Macaca fascicularis: one gene and its partners. The protein of the gene in region 1 interacts with the protein of each later gene in a biochemical or structural test. Links are inferred from orthologs where the notes say so. Each region holds a gene or a part of one and is shown on either strand. Other genes may lie near its edges.

Region 1 (4,224 bases):
AGGTGATAACACAGACACAAGAAATAACAGATGTGTGAACTAGGATGATAAGGCTAATGATAAAATTTAAATGTCAGTACTATTTAAACCAAAGGCTACCAGAAGATTCATAATTTAAAATAACTAGAAAAATTTACAGGCTGGGTGCGGTGGCTCATGCATATAATTCCAGCACTTTGGGAGGCAGAGGCAGGTGGATCACGAGGTCAGGAGTTCAAGACCCACCTGACCAACTTGGTGAAATCACATCTCTACCCAAAATACAAAATTAGCCAGGCGTGGTGGCGCATGCCTGTAACACCAGTTACTCAGGAGGCTGAAGCAGGAGAAGCACTTGAACCCGGGAGAGGGAAGTTGCAGTGAGCTGAGATCGCGCCACTGCACTCCAGCCTGGGCAACAAGAGCAAAACTCCGTCTCAAAAAAAAAAAGAAAGAAAAAAGAAAAAGAAAAATTTACGTACGGCCAGGCACGGTGGCTCATGCCTGTAATCCCAACACTTTGGGAGGCTGACGCAGGCAGATCATGAGATCAGGAGATCGAGACCATCCTGGACAACATGGTGAAACCCAGCCTCTACTAAAAAATACAAAAATTAGCTGGGCCTGGTGGTGCATGCCTGTAATCCCAGCTACTCAGGAGGCTGAGGCAGGAGAATCGCTTGAACCAGGGAGTCAGAGGTTTCAGTGAGCCGAGATCGCACCATTGCACTCCAGAATGGTGAAAGAGCGAGACTCCATCTCAAAAACAAAAAAAAAAGAAAGAAAACAAAGAAAAATTTACATACGTTGAACATTATACAAAAGTAAAAAATGATTCAAAATATATCAACATTAAAATGGCATTAGGACCAGTGCACAAAACTGTTGACTGCAGTAACACGGTATTTTCCATTTCAATTATTCCTTAAAGCTTTATAGGAAGTATTTGAAACGCAAATCTTTTAAAGAATTTAACTGCTATTTAAATGTTTATACATTTTAAAACTTAGAAAACATAACTAAAATTTCATGATACTAATTAAATTCTAGTTTTTTTTTTTTTTAAATCTATCTTTACATGTCACAGTTCAAACAAATGAGCAGTTACTGTTAAAATTCTATGTGTTTGGCCGGGCGCAGTGGCTCACACCTGTAATCCCAGCACTTTGGGAAGCTGAGATGGGTGGATCGCCTGAGGTCAGGTGGTCGAGACCAGCCTGGTCCAACATGGTGAAACCCTGTCTCTACTAAAAATACAAAAATTAGCCAGGTATAGTGGCACGTGCCCATAATCCCAGCTACTCGGGAGGCTGACTCAGGAGAATTGCTTGAACCTGGGAGGCAGAGGTTGCAGTGAGCCAAGGTAGTGTCACTGCATTCCAGCCTGGGCAACAGAGCAAAACTCCGTATCAAAAAAAAAAAATAAATAAATTACATGTGTTCATTTTTAAAAGTTAAAGGTTATAATTTCAATTTAAACTGTAGCTTTAATAAGGTCATTTTGTTTTCTGTAACAACTTCTTATCCAACAGATTTTTTTTCTTTTTCTTTTTCTTTTTTTTTTGCCTTCAGAGGAGGGTATCACTGTTAACTTAGGCTGGAGTGCAGGGATGCAATCATAGCTCACTGCAGTCTCAAACTCCTAGGCTCAAGAGATGCTCCTGAATAGCTGGGACTACAGGCATGCCCAGAAAATTTTTAGAGACAGGTCTCACTATATTGCTCAGCCTGGTCTCAAACTCTTGGCCTCAAGTGATCCTCCTGCCTCAGCCTTCGAAATTGCTAGGATTACAGGCGTGAGCCACCACGTCTGCCTTTTTATGTACTAAGGTTTTAAAATCACCTTTCAAAAGAAAATATTTTGAAGAAATATATGCCTTAAAAAAATTTACAAAACCAGGTATAGTCAGTTTCTTATGTCCCCAGGATTACAGAGTGGAATACAACCTTCTATTTACTTAGTTTAAGTTAATAAACTATCAAGCTTCCAAACCTAAAAGGATCTACTGAGTTCCAAGTCAAAGCTAAATGGGAAAATAGAAAAACAGTAAAATTAAAATAAAAAGATCTATATTATTTAACCTAGTAATTAGACTTCTAAGAGACAATACATCTATCAACAGATATACCCAAAAGGTAATAGATAAACCATGGCATTTATAATGTAAGCACTAAACATGTTTGTAAGAATTACTTTAAAAGTAATACAAATGTGGAGAAAAGCAGATTACAGAACCATATAAAAATGAGCACTTAAAAAAAAAAAAAAAAAAAAAAAAAAAAAAAAAAAAAGGCCAGGCGTGGTGGTTCATGCCTGTAATCCCAGCACTTTGAGAGGCCCAGGTGGGCGGATCATGAGGTCAGGAGTTTAAGACCAGCCTGGCCAACATGGTGAAACCCATCTCTACTAAAAATACAAAAATTAGCCAGGCGTGGTGGCATGTGCCTGTAATCCCAGGTATCTGGAGGCTGAGGCGGGACAATCGCTGGAACCCAGGAGGAGGAGGCTGCAGTGAGCCGAGACCACGCCACTACACTCCAGCCTGGCAACAGAGCAAGACTCTGTCTCAAAAAAAAAAAAAAAAGAAAAGAAAAGAAAAAAGAAGCACTATTTTTGTGCTTTTGACCTATATTAAGAAGTCCTAAATAAACTGTAGTACATCCAGAAAATGAAACATTACTGAGTGCTAAAATAAAATGAGTTATCAAGCCATAAAAAGACATAGAAGGAACTTAAATGCATATTACTAAGTGAAAGAAGCTAAGCTGAAAAGGCTACGTACTGTATGATTGTAACTCTGTGATATTCTGGAAAAGACAAAAAGATCAGTGGTTGGTGGGAAGGGTATAAACAAGCAGAACAGAGAGGATTTTTAGGGCAGTAAATTATTCTGTACGATATTATAATCATAGATATATGTCATTATACATTTGACAAAACCCACAGAATGTACAACATGAAGAGTGAACCCTAATGTAAAGTATGAACTTTGGGTGACAATAATGTCAATTTAGGTTCATCAATTCTAACAAATGTGCCATTCTGTTGCAGGATGTTGACAGTGGGAAAGCTGTTCCTGCACAGGGGCAAGGAGTAAGTTACAGGAACTGTAATTTCTGCTCAATTTTGCTCTGAACCTAAAACTGCTCTAAGAAAATTAAGTAGTTAGTTTTTGAGACAGGGTCTCGCTCTGATACCCAGGCTGCAGTGCTGTGGCACAATCACAGCTCACTGCAGTCTCGACCTCCAGGGCTCAATCAATCCTCCCGCCCAAGCCTCCTGAGTAGCTGGGACTACAGGTGCATGCCACCACACCTGGCTAGTTTTTTGTATTAATATTTTTAGTAGAGACAGGGTTTCACCATGTTGCCTAAGTTAGTCTTGAATTCCCGGGCTTACGCAATTCACCCACCTCAGCCTCCCAAAGTATTGAGGTTTCAGGCATGAGCTACTGCACCCAGCTGAAAATTAAGTATTTAAAGGGAAAAACGAAAAGGTACGAAGAGGGATATGGTTTAAAAAAAAAAAAAAAAAGTTCACTTTCAGAGAACACTTAGTTGTTGAGATTACAGATTATTTTTTTCACACTGATCTAAATATTCCAAATGTATTATAACAAAGTTATATTAAAGCCCAAATAAACATCTGAAACTACTCCTGGATGGCTCAGTGTATTCCAATAATCTGCCCATCCCTTCCTACGTGAATATCATATTTTTGTAAATTTCTTTTTTCTTTTTTTAGACAGCATCTTGCTCTGTCACCCAGGCTGAAGTGCAATGGCGCAATCTTGGCTCACTGCAACCTCCACTTTCCGGGTTCAAGCAATTCTCCTGCCTCAGCCTCCCAAGTAGCTGGGATTACAGGCACCCACCACCACGTCCAGCTAATTTTTTTGTATTTTTAGTAGAGATGGGTTTTCGCCATGTTGGTCAGGCTGATCTCGAACTCCTGACCTCAGGTGATCCACCTGCCTCAGCCTCCCAAAGTGCTACTATTATAGAGTCACTGCGCCCAGCCATTACTTTTAACAATGTTTTTCTTCATGATATGGTAAGTTCCCCATTCGCCTTTGCTCTTCCTTTTTAAAACTTTGCTTCTGCTCAGGCCTGTAATCCCAGCACTTTGGGAGGCCAAGGCGGGCAGATTCCCTGAGGTCAGGAGTTTGAGACCAGCCTGGCCAACACAGTGAAAACTCGTCTCTACTAAAAACATAAAAATTAGCTGGGTATAGTGGTTGGCGC
Region 2 (4,244 bases), on another chromosome or scaffold:
AATATATTAACTCAATAAATATATCTGTGCTATTATATAAACAAATTATCTTAATAAAGGGTAATGCAAATGGCACGTACACATGCATGGAAAGCAGATATTCCAAAGCTTGGCGATGAAAGTAAAAACTCATTTCCCTACCGAGGCCATGGGAAGGATAATTTATTAAAAGACGACACCTTTCTGGATGAATTACTTCAGCAAGGTACCTACCCATTCCTATTCCTCTCTGCTGCCACTAATGGGACTTCTGGTCTATAGAAAATGAGAAAGACGTAAAGGGTTCACTCTTAATATCCTGAGATAAAACTAAAACTACATTTTCCCATAGAAACAATATCACAAATAGCAGTCAGAAAACTAGTCACTAGTAACAGAAAAATGCTGGCCTGAAAAAAATATATAGCTCCAAATGAGAATTTATTCATTGGAACACAGGCTATTGTGCAGAAGCTGCTTACTTTTCTAAATGGCAATTGACAGATCCATCAGTATACGGCGGAAGCTGCTCCCATTCCCTATGCAGAGCATACTGCTAAGGGGAGATCTAGACTAAAGTCAAAGAGGTGGACCGTAACCACTTATGGTGATTTACCCACCCATTTATCCAACAAAGTCGGATGTTACAGTGGTGGCAAAGGACAAGCATGCAAAACCCATGATTATAAGCATGTTTTACTACATGGTTAGGTGACATTGTATTTTGTTCTACTTACAGCCAATTCAAAAAACCTTAAAGCATTTCACTATGCTTTATGTAAAATATAAATGCTGAAAGAGTGTTATAGCAATAAGCTACCTTTAGAAATTGCTGGGGAAATCACGGTCTGTGATGAGGTGGGACACTATGGGGCAGGGCAGAGTGATGATGGAATGGATTTGGACTGAACTACCATCAAGAGTCTATGGCCATACCACCCTGAATGTGCCTGCTTTTGTCTGAAATACCATGGGAAAAAAATAGGACTGGGTCTTAAATGTTTCCTAGTTCTGCCGGCTTTCTAAGGTACTTTTTCCACTTCTATAACATCAACTGTACTTATATACTGATGAATCAGAAAGAAATGAAGGTTAGGTGAAGGACAGGGAAGTGTAACCTGATATCAAAGGAACACCTGGCCTCATTGTGAGAAGGGGGTCATAAACAGGCCAACTCCCCTGTTCATACTAGTAGACTGCAAATTCAGCTCGTTTTGTTCTTCCTAACTAACCCCTGGATTACTATTCTTCCAGCCAGCCAACATACAGTACTTTTACTCTGCAAAGTCTGTGACAGGTACTGACTTTAACTTCCCGCTATTCTAAGTGACAGTCCATTTCTTTTTGAGGCACCAATACATCATCTTAGGGCATTAGTTCAACCCAGCCTCCTCTCCATTGGCAGTGTTTTCACTCTCCTTTTTATCTATGGGGAATCCTGCATTCACACCTACTCCAAACTCCACCTAGATTACCTATTAAAATAATCCCTTTCAAAGATTCCCAACATGCAGCTGCCTTTTAAAGTCAATTCCAACAGAAACATTTACTTAGGACAATCACACTGTAGTCACACTTCCGGAGGCACAGAATCACCTGGGGGAGCTAGTTAAAATACAACTGGCCCCACCCCCACAGTTTCTGATTCTTTAAGTCTGGACTGAAGCCCCATAATTTGCATAATTTGTAAGTTCTCAGGTGATGCTGAAGCTCCAGGTCCTGGGCAACTCTTTGAGAACGCTGATTTTGGAATATTTACATTTTACAGGTTATCACAACCTAAAACAGCTATTGCTCCATCCCAGGGGTAGTTCTTAATTCCTACTTTTTAGTAAGGGGTCTATGATTCTCAAGTACCGGTAGGGAAGAAGAGATAAGCTAGAGTTTGGGGTCATTAAAATTTTGAAGTGTGGGGGTAACGCTGGAAAAACGTCAAGGCTAATCAGGAAGAACAAGAGACGGAGGAAAAAAGAAAAGTCTTACACATTTTAGCATTTATAAGAAATTTCTCCATACACATCTTGGTTTAATGTGTCTTAGATAAAGCAGTACCACCATGAAAACTGCCTATTCTCCCCAGAGCACTCTCCCAACAGCACTGCCCAGCGCTCCGCAAAACTCGGCCAATCAGTGTCAAAACAGTCCTGCCAACCCGACAGGAGGAGGCGGTGGGCAGAGTGCTCCACAGCAACACCTAAAAAGGGCTGGGTTTGGAGAAAAGATGAACTCAGATTTGAATTGTAAGTAAAATTCCCACCTGCTCCCCAAGTCAGCGCACTTAAGGAAAAGAAATCACATCCTGAAAACACTAGCACAGGTTGCAAAAACTGCTTCTTGCGGACCAAGTGGGCTGAACAAACTGCACTGGAGAAGGAAGACGACACGAAAAGGTGCAAAGGTGGCCAACAGGTGCGCGAGCTGCTCCGCAAAGATCCTGGGAGCCCTGCTCCACTGGACCGGGGGGGTCAGTGGGGGCGGAGGGCGGGACCCGCCGTGAGGCGTCAGCCCCAGCCTGGTGGGGGTGAGGACGAGGGGCGCCGGGGAGGGGGAGCCCGGCCAGCCGGCAGGGGCGCCGCTCAGGCGGAAGAGGGGCGCCGAAGGCCCTCTCCTCACCTGGTTGAGTTCGTTCTCGGCTGCAATCCGCAACTTCGGGTCGATGGTGCCCTTCAGCGCCTGGATGATCCGGTTGAGGTCCATCTCCCCGGGTGGGGGCTCCGCGGCCCCCGGACCAGTAGGCCGGACTGCAGCTTTAGTTTTCTTTTGACCCTCTCAGCCTCCTCTTCCGCGACCCCTGGATTACCTCACACCCCAATCCCCGCCACCGTCGCCACCTGCGGCCACTTGCTGCGCCACTCTGACTCCGCGCCCCCTGTCCTCCCTTTTTCCCCCCCACAACTCGCTCTCCATTCACCCTTTTACGACAGCCGGTGGGAGGCGGGAGAAGGAAGAAGAGGAAGCAGAGCTTCCTTTACGGCGGCCTCTTCCCCCTGGCGTGATGGTATGACCGGCTTCCCTTGGCGGCCGCCATGCTGCTGTACGGAAAGCGGCCTCGGCTTCTTTCCCGAGGAAGAACCTGCGCTCCCGAACTCAGGCAGGCGGCCGCCATGCTTCCGTACTATTAGCAGCCTCCCGCCTCTTCCCAGATGAGGAAACTTGAGCTGGCCGGGAGTCTCCTTACAGCTGCTTCCAAATTAAGCATATCTGGATGGTGTGACACTTTCTGTTAGTCCGAGAACTGTATGGGCATCGCAACTGGGCCTGTTTCAAGACAGACTTGTTGGAACCTTCAAATCATGTACCTTACAGGTGAGCAGGGTTCCTCCGTGTGTGGGAGTCATCATTCATTCATTTGCTTTCACTGAACATTTGTTAAACATTTATTTTTGAACCAGAGTACTAGGATTTTTAGGTACCACATTATAACAAGATGAATTCCATGCAAGTTAATGTGAAGGAACTCACAACCTGAGAGATGAGACAAATATAAACAAAAAAAATTTACAGTGTAGAAATGATAGGGGAGTGCTGGGAATAGAAGAGCGTGGTCCCTTTAAATAATAGGGATGGGGGAAGTGAAGTGCTGGGTAGAGGAGAGTGTGGTCCCTGGCTAGGTTTCCACCCCCACCGACCTAGGTGAGGACTGGCACTCCAGCCTTCGGGCCCAAATGTTGCATTTCCCAAGACCACCCTGGCCTGCCACTCCCCCATCCTGTGCCTATGAAAACCCCAGACCCTAGCAGGCAGGCACACAGGCAGCCAGACGTCCAGAGGAGCATAAGGGTGGAAGAAGAGGAGCTCGCTGGCACATTCGCAGACCATCCACGGGCAGAACGATGCGGAGTTTGGCCCGGGCTGTCGGAAAAGAGCCCGAGGAAAACCATTTCCTTTCTGGGCCCCTCATCTGCTGAGAGCTACTTCCACTCAATAAAACTTTGCACTCATTCTCCAAGCCCACGTGTGATCCAATTCTTCTGGTATACCAAGGCAAGAACCCAGGATACATAAAGCTTGCTGTCCTTGCGACAAGGTAGAAGGTCTAATAGAGCTGGTTAACACAAGCTCCCTCTAGACAAACTAAAGGAGCAGCCTGTAACACACACCCACTGGGGCTTCAGGAGCTGTAAACATTCACCCGTAGACACTGCCAAGGGGTCGGAGCTCCACAGCCTTCCCGTCTGTATGTGCCTCTAGAGGTCTGAACAGCGGGGCACTGAAGAAGCGAGCCACACCCCCCATGCACGCCCTGTGAGGGGGACAAGGGAACC
Region 3 (4,275 bases), on another chromosome or scaffold:
ACTCAGTTTGGAAGGTAGATACAGTAAGTACCAACCTCATATAAAGTGCTTAATGCACAGTTTGGGGGTTCATCAAAGAGGTAAGCATGGAACAATCATATGACCCAGCAATTTCACTCTTACATATATAACCAAAAGATCTAAAAACAAGGACCCAAACAGATACTTGTACAACAATGTCCAGAGCAACATTATTCACAATAGTCAAAATGTAGAAACAATCCAAGTATCCATCAACAGATGAATAGATAAACAAAATGTGGTCTACACATATAATGGAATATTATTCAGCATTAGAAAGAAATGAAATTCTGATCATGCTACAACATAGATGGACCTCAATGACATTATGCTAAGTGAAATAAGCCACACACAAAAGGTCAAATACTGTATGATTCTGAGGCAGGAGAATAGGGTCTGGAGGCAGGGAACCTAAGGCCGATTCCCTCTGACTTCCTAGAACTAAATCCAAAGGAAAACCCGAACTCTCCACGCCCAAGTAACAAAAGGACCAGAGGCTACTCTCTTTGCAAAACACCCCATTTCCTGCCTGGCAGATGGAAAATTGAAAGCACCTCTGATTGGTTGCTTTCTACAACCAATGGGGTGAACACCAAGTGGCCAATGGGAAACCTCTAGGGCATATTTGGAACCCAGAAGATTCTGTAACTTGGGCCCTTGAGCCCTGCTCCAACCCATCCCACCCTGTGGAGTGTACTTTCATTTTCCATAAATCTCTGCTTTCATTGCTTCATTCTTTCCTTGCTTTGCTGTGCATTTTGTCCAATTCTTTGTTCAAAACGCCAAGAACCTGAACAACTTGCGGTCAAGACCGTCTACTGGTAACAATTCCACTTATATGAAATATCTAGAATAAGTAAGCTCGTAGGGACAGAAGGTAGATTAGAAGTTACCAAGGGCTAGGGGAAGGAGAAAATGAGGAGCTATTGCTTTACTGAGACTCAGGACACACCACTTCAAAATATGACTGCAGGAGGCCAGAATATGCCACCCTTGAAATATACTTTGTTGGCATATTTTAAGCTGGTTATTCTGAGAAACTGCTGATACAGGAATAGCTCTGAAAAGCTCTCCTTTTGTAAAACAGAAAGGCATTTGCATCCCAAAGAAAATCTACATTAGTAAAATGGTCTATATTAAAAGAGGGCTGCTCCAGACAACTCTTATTATCTAAGAACTTTTTATCTACATAGCAAGACAACAGCTCCTCTCCTCACCCTCCCATAACTTGTGTCATCACCACCACCCAGAAGCTCCAAGCTCTTTTCTGTGGATCAGGATGTTATATAGGCTTCAATCATCTGACCTTTCTTTGAGTCTCATACTTTGTGGGACTCCTGAGTATACATATGTAATTAAATATGGGTTTTCCCCCTGTTAATCTATTTTATGACTATTTAATTCATAGCCCAGCCAAGGAAACTAGAAGGGTGGAGGGAAGCCATCTTTCCCTCCCCTATGGTTTAAAGGGTACAGAGTTTCTGGAGCAATTAAAAAGTTCTGAAAATAGATGGTGGTGATGGTTACACAATATTGTGAATCTACTTAATGCCACTGAACGTTACACTTAGAAATGGTTAACATAGGAGCTTATCCGTTACGTATATTTTACCACAATTTTTAAAATACAAAAGCAGTCCGGGCATGGTGGCTGACGCCTGTAATCCCAGCACTTTGGGAGGCCGAGTTGGGCAGATCACGAGGTCAGAAGTTAGAGACCAATCTGGCCAACATAGTGAAACCCCATCTCTACTAAAAATATAAAAATCAGCCAGGTATAGTGGTGTGGCCTGTAATCCCAGCTACTCAGAAGGCTGAGGCAGGAGAATCACGTCAACCCGGGAGGAGGAGGTTGCAGCGAGCAGAGATCGCACCATTGCACTCCAGCCTGGGCGACAGTGCAAGACTCCATCTCAAAAACAAACAGATAAACAAACAAACAAAAAACAAAACAAAACAAACAACAAAAAACCAAAGTGCTTAATACAGTACCTGGCACATTTGAAGTGCTCATAAATGTTAGCTAGTGTTGTTAAGTAATGTTATTCTTAGTTGTAATAATGCTTATAAAAGTTACTGTAATACAGTGTCCTCTGTACTTTCATGAAGGGGAGCAAAAGGGCCTGGAAGACAGCAGAACAAGAAACCCAAGTAGTTCCTTTGGGGGTGGAGGTGGGAGGTAGGCAGGACAGGTGTGGCAAGAGAAGGGTTTGTTAGGGAGGCTTCCTTAAGCAGAAACCACATGAGCTGGGAGGCCTTGGCAAAGATACCTCTTCAGTCTGAGCCACAGTTTCTCACCTCGGATCTGGGAAGTTGGTTTTAGTTTTGCTGTGCCTGGGACATGCTCCTGGCTCCAGGCCAGCGCAACAGGGCTACCACTTCCATCCTCCCTAATCTGTGGTCCTGCATCTGAGGCAGGGTTGACCAGGGCTCGAGGGTGGGCGGAAGGGCCCAGGCCCGGAGGCCACTGACCCTTCTCACCTTGCCCAACTGCTCCGTGGAGAAACCGCAGCCCAGCGAGGCCGCCCCAACTCCTCCGGGTCCTCTTTTCTACTCTATCCTACCCTCCCATGCCCCAGCCAAGAAGGTCAGGACCCTGGTGTGTGGTCTTCCCGCTTTGTGTCACTCTCTAGCGTACTTGACCAAATCCTCCGTTAGACCCTCTCTTCCCCACTCTCCCCACCACAGCAAACCAACAAAGCCTAACCCCATCATCCCCTAACCCAATAGTACCTCTGTAGGGCTGTGGCTGGGGCTGGGCTGACGGCCTTCCGAGGGGGTCTCGGGGGGAGGCATGGTGGGCGCGTGGGGCCGGGCGGGGTCCTGCTGGGGCCTCGGAGATCGGGCGGGTGCAGGCTCCATGGACCTCAGCTTAGTTTCGATTCTCGGTTTAGATCTTGGAGGGCGTGAAAAGAAACTAAAGGGGAGGCGTGAGCCAGTTGGCTGAGCCCCTTGAGCTGTCCGAAAGGGGAGGTGCCAGCTCAGGGCCCGCCTCTGGAGAGGAAGTGAGACACAAACTGGGGGCGGTTCTAGGGGCAGAGAGGCCGACTGTGGGTTTTAAAGACACGCCCAGAGCGGGGAGGAAGGAGAGGCGGGGAGCCGCAGACCTACTGCTGGCTTACGGTAAAGCGGGAGAGGCAGGGCAGAGCTGCAGAGGGGCAGCCCCGCCCCCGGGTTTGATCCATTCATCAGTTCACACTGGCACTGCTTCGTGCCACCTCCTGCCGGGAGCTGGGCGCACAAAGATGAGCCACACGCAGCCCCTGCTTTTTAAGAGCCCCAGATGTAATGGAAGAGCAAGCTTGCAAACGGAGACATTCTGGAAAGGAGAGCCCTCAGCTGGGACCTGAAAAAGCAGTGGGAATTCACCAGGGATTCAGGGCTGTAGGTGGTGGGGTCCAGGGGACACTGGAAACACGAAAGATAGCTCTTGCAAAAGGCATGGAAGTTTGAAACACGAAAGCCTGTTTGGGAACTAGTTTTGGCCGTTTTCAGATTTAAGAGGGAATTCATGAGAAATGATGCCCAAGAAGTGTGCTGGGACAAGATCCTAACTAAGGAGATTGGACCAGTTCTGGGAGTGATGGGAAGTTGGTGAAGGATCTGGAACCAGGAAACAACATGATCAGCTGTGCATGATGGGACGGTCACTCTAACAACCTAGGGGCACATACCCTTGTCTAGGACAGTGGCTGTGGGATGCAGAGGAGGGTCTTGAGTCAGAGATCCTGGGAAGCCAGTGACTGGAGGTGAGGGAGCAGGGTGACGCCTTGAGTGACAGCTGGAAAGGCTGGTGGATGTGAGGTGGTGGGGGCAGGAGGGAGGGGGAGAGCTGGAGAGCGGGTATGAAGAGGGAGAGGGGAGAGCCAGGTAGGTCTTCACCAGTGGAAAAGCATGCCAGACTCCCAGCTGGTGAGGGGGAAAGGGCACAGCTCCAGGTGACCTCACTGGGCCAGTGCCCCTGGCTTCAAACTTAAACCATCGCAACCACTGTGCTGGCTCCTGTGTACCCATTCTGTACTCTGTTCCAACTTAGAAACAGACTAGAAAGGATGATGATAGGGCCTGGCTCTTGTAAACCTTATAGTATGCGGGCTGGAGGTCAAGGGTTGGGTGGATACCCAACTTCCTAGGGACTGTAAGAGGCCTCAGGAGCCTGCCCTTCCCTCCAGCCTGGTCAGTACTCCCAGGCCTTTAGAGAATCAGTCCATGAAAGCCAAATATGGTGGGCAGCCATCTGCACAAGGGACCTGG
Region 4 (3,695 bases), on another chromosome or scaffold:
ACTCCTGGGCTTAAGGGATCCTATCGCCTTAGCCTCTTGAGTAGCTGGAATTACAGGCATGAGCCATGAGGCCCAGCACAAAGTCTGCTTTTGAAAACAAAATTGTGTCTTAGTGATAACTTACAGATAATATAAGCCCTTATGTGTCTTCACACTGAGGATGCTTTTCATTTCTCAGCCCCTTTTTATCATTCCTTTCCCTCAAAAGGCCTGGCTTAGGTATGCTATCTGCCACTGCCACAGTTAATTTTTATCCTAGTAATAACAAAATGGTTCCAATTATTTTACCCTTCTGAAAAGATTTGTATTAAGTGTCACTTTAATTTCCTTTTCTAATGTTGCTTTTTTTATGTTGCTTTTTTTAAGTACTCACTTGAAATTCCTACTCTATGTTTCACTTATTTTTGATTGACAAATTATGATTGTATATGTTTATGGGGTACAATGTGATGTTTTGATATATGTGTCCAATGTGGAATGAATGAATCAAATTAATTAACATATCTATCACCTCACTTACCTTTTTTTATGGTAAGACATTTGATTAATTTTGCTTTTGTAGTTTGTCATAAAACCACTGTCACCGTTTCATTATAATTAAAGATAATTGGGTATGCTACCCCGAGGGAAACCAGCATTCAAAATACATCCCCCTCCATGTTTTTTATTATTTGTGAGAGAATGTCTCATTAATAATTTCAGAGCATTTTGGATTTCAAAATATTTGCCTTAGACCTTCTTGCCTCCTCTTCTCTTGTAGAGCCATATGGGTCCTTTGTACTCAGAAAATTGAAAATGAGCCAAGTGCAGTGGCTCATGCCTGTAATCCTACCATTTTGGGAGGCCAAGGCAGAAGGATTGCTTGAGCCCAGGAGTTCAAGACCAACTTGGGCAATATAGTGAGACCTTGTCTCTATTATTTAAAAAACTAAAAATTAAGAAGAAGAAGAAAGAGGCCAGGAGTGGTGGCTCATGCCTGTAATCCAAGCAGTTTGGGAGGCTGAGGCAGGTGGATCGCCTGAGGTCAGGAGTTCGAGACAAGCCTGACCAACATTGTGAAGCCCCATCTCTGCTAAAAATACACAAAAAGATCAGTCAGGCGTGGTGGCAAGCACCTGTAGTCCCAGCAACTTGGGAGGCTGAGACAGGATAATCGCTTGAACCTGGGAGACAGAGGTTGCAGTGAGCTGAGATCATGCCACTGCACTCCAGCCTGGGCGATAGAGCGAGACTCTGTCTCACAAAAAAAAAAGAAAAAAGAAAGAAAGAAAATTAAAGATAATTCTATGTTAACTCCTTAAATGTAATTCCTAGTTCTTCTATCATCTTTAGCCGACTCTTCTACCTTCAGAGTGGACACTGCTGTTATCAAGCAGAGAGTGCCGATCTTACTCAAGTACCTAGACTCAGATACAGAGAAGGAACTGCAAGCACTTTATGCACTACAAGCATCGATAGTAAAACTCGATCAACCTGCCAGTAAGTTTATCTCATGTTACAGTTAATCCAACCAATGAGTGAGATTTATCCAAGCCAGGACTTAGAGATGATTTAGGGTTTGAACATTGGACAATAAAAGAATCACTAATAACAAAAACTCATATAACTAACTTTAATAAATCTGAATTTGGCCGGGTGCAGTAGCTCGCGCCTGTAATCCCAGCACTTTGGGAGGCCACGGCGGGCAGCTCACTTGAGGTCAAGAGTTCAAGACCAGCCTGGCCATCATGGTGAAAACCCGTCCCTACTAAAAATACAGAAATTGGCCAGGCACAGTGGCTCACGACTGTAATCCCAGCACTTTGGAAGGCCAAGGCGGATGGATCATGAGGTCAGGAGATCGAGACCATCCTAGCTAACACAGTGAAACCCCGTCTCCACTAAAAATACAAAACATTAGCCGGGTGTGGTGGCACGCGTCTGTAATGCCAGCTACTTGGTAGGCTGAAGCAGGAGAACCGCTTGAACACAGGAGGCGGAGGTTACAGTGATCCAAGATCACGCCACTGCACTCCAGCCTGGCGACAGAGTGAGACTGTCTCAAAAAAAAAAAAAAAAAAAAATACAAAAATGGGCTAGGTGGCGTGTGCCTGTAGTCCCAGCTACTCGGGAAGCTGAGGCAAGAGAATCACTTGAACCTGGGAGGCGGAGTTTGCAGTGAGCCAAGATTGTGCCACTGCACTCCAGCCTGGGCAACAGAGCAAGACTCCATCCAAAAAAAAAAGAATTTGTTATATGCTTGTATGAAAAGATCACAACAAGAAAACTATTTAGATTAGGTTATTTCATCCCCATTCCAGGGCAGGCCTAACAAAACTTTCTACAATGATGGAAGTATATTCATACCATTGAGTATGGTAACCATGAGCCACATGTGGCAGTTCTATACTTAAATGTGTCTGTTGTGACTTAGGAACTGAATTATTGACTTTAAATTTAAATAGCCATGTTTGGCTAGTAGCTTCCATATTGGACATCACAGGTCTAGGGCATGAAGATGGTTAATGATGTTGAGGATGATACTCTAGAATCTTTAGACACCCAACAAAGACCCTAAGTATAGTTTATTTACCATGGTATATTTACTAAGGAGTTTCAGAATCGTTTTTAGTTAAGTGTTATGATTAATTCTTGGCTAATGAAACAAAGTAACCTGTACACTTAAGTCTTAGTGATACTCAGTGTTAACTAGTGATTTTTATTACATCTTGAAAATTCAGTTGGAATTTGTTAAAGTGGGCAGTACATAGCTATGAGAGAGAGCACTCAAGTAGTTCTTTGGTACTTCCTTAGTTTTGCTTTTGTAAAATTCCTTCTTCCCTAGTCCTGCTGAATCACTCTGGGAGATAAAGGAAAAGATCAAAGCAAATTATCCTTATAGTATAATTGAAGAGTCAATCTACCGTGAATCAGATAATTTGATAATATTAGCTTGACTAATATAATTACAAAGATAAATCTTTTAAAAAAGGCTGAGGCATGTGGATCACCTGAGATCAGGAGTTTGAGACCAGCCTGGCCAATATGGTGAAACCCCGTCTCTACTTAAAATACAAAAATTAGCTGACCGTGGTGGCGGGTGCCTGTAATCCCAGGTACTTGGGAGGCTGAGGCAGGAAAGTTGCTTAAACCCACAAGGTGGAGGTTGCAGTGAGCCAAGATCACACCACTGCACTCCAACCTGGGGACAGAACAAGATTGTCTCTCAAAAAAAAAAAAAAAAAAAGGAAAAAGAAAGGAAGTTCAAATTGAACAAAATAATAGGAATAAAAAATAATTTAGACTGCTTCAATATTTTTTTCCTCTCCTTTGAACAAGTTGTTGGGCTGTTTATACTGTCAAGAGCAAGTATGGTGAATTGTCATTATTGCTTTTTTCTGGGGGAATTAATGCACATTTATTCAGTCATTCATTATTTTGAAATACATTCTTTTCCTCATAACTACAGTGTCCCAAAGCTTATAGTTTATTTTCACCTCCTTGCAGATTTGCTGCGAATGTTTTTTGATTGCCTGTATGATGAGGAGGTGATCTCCGAGGATGCCTTCTACAAATGGGAGAGCAGCAAGGACCCTGCAGAGCAGAATGGGAAGGGCGTGGCCCTGAAATCTGTCACGGCATTCTTCACGTGGCTGCGGGAAGCAGAAGAGGAGTCTGAGGATAACTAAAACTTCAAATACACAAAAGGAAACAAA

What was found.
Region 2: the proteins of EIF4E (region 1) and IPO8 form a complex in vitro, tested with the Homo sapiens proteins (2 studies listed by BioGRID and IntAct, with this or other methods). The link is inferred for Macaca fascicularis from reciprocal best matches to the Homo sapiens genes EIF4E and IPO8.
Region 3: the proteins of EIF4E (region 1) and PML form a complex in vitro, tested with the Homo sapiens proteins (4 studies listed by BioGRID and IntAct). The link is inferred for Macaca fascicularis from reciprocal best matches to the Homo sapiens genes EIF4E and PML.
Region 4: the proteins of EIF4E (region 1) and EIF4G3 form a complex in vitro, tested with the Homo sapiens proteins (3 studies listed by BioGRID and IntAct, with this or other methods). The link is inferred for Macaca fascicularis from reciprocal best matches to the Homo sapiens genes EIF4E and EIF4G3.

Annotation. Positions count from the first base shown.
Region 1 is NC_088379.1:104,497,205-104,501,428, forward strand, and holds the start of EIF4E (eukaryotic translation initiation factor 4E), read right to left. Parts: upstream 2,906-4,224; 5' UTR 2,891-2,905; coding exon 2,763-2,890; intron 1-2,762. UniProt on the Homo sapiens protein: Acts in the cytoplasm to initiate and regulate protein synthesis and is required in the nucleus for export of a subset of mRNAs from the nucleus to the cytoplasm which promotes processes such as RNA capping, processing and splicing.
Region 2 is NC_088385.1:33,483,170-33,487,413, forward strand, and holds the start of IPO8 (importin-8), read right to left. Parts: upstream 2,899-4,244; 5' UTR 2,677-2,898; coding exon 2,593-2,676; intron 1-2,592. UniProt on the Homo sapiens protein: Involved in nuclear protein import, either by acting as autonomous nuclear transport receptor or as an adapter-like protein in association with the importin-beta subunit KPNB1.
Region 3 is NC_088381.1:50,917,774-50,922,048, reverse strand, and holds the start of PML (protein PML), read right to left. Parts: upstream 2,914-4,275; 5' UTR 2,884-2,913; coding exon 2,755-2,883; intron 1-2,754.
Region 4 is NC_088375.1:214,258,431-214,262,125, forward strand, and holds part of EIF4G3 (eukaryotic translation initiation factor 4 gamma 3), read left to right. Parts: intron 1-1,332; coding exon 1,333-1,479; intron 1,480-3,486; coding exon 3,487-3,668; 3' UTR 3,669-3,695. UniProt on the Homo sapiens protein: Component of the protein complex eIF4F, which is involved in the recognition of the mRNA cap, ATP-dependent unwinding of 5'-terminal secondary structure and recruitment of mRNA to the ribosome. Functional homolog of EIF4G1.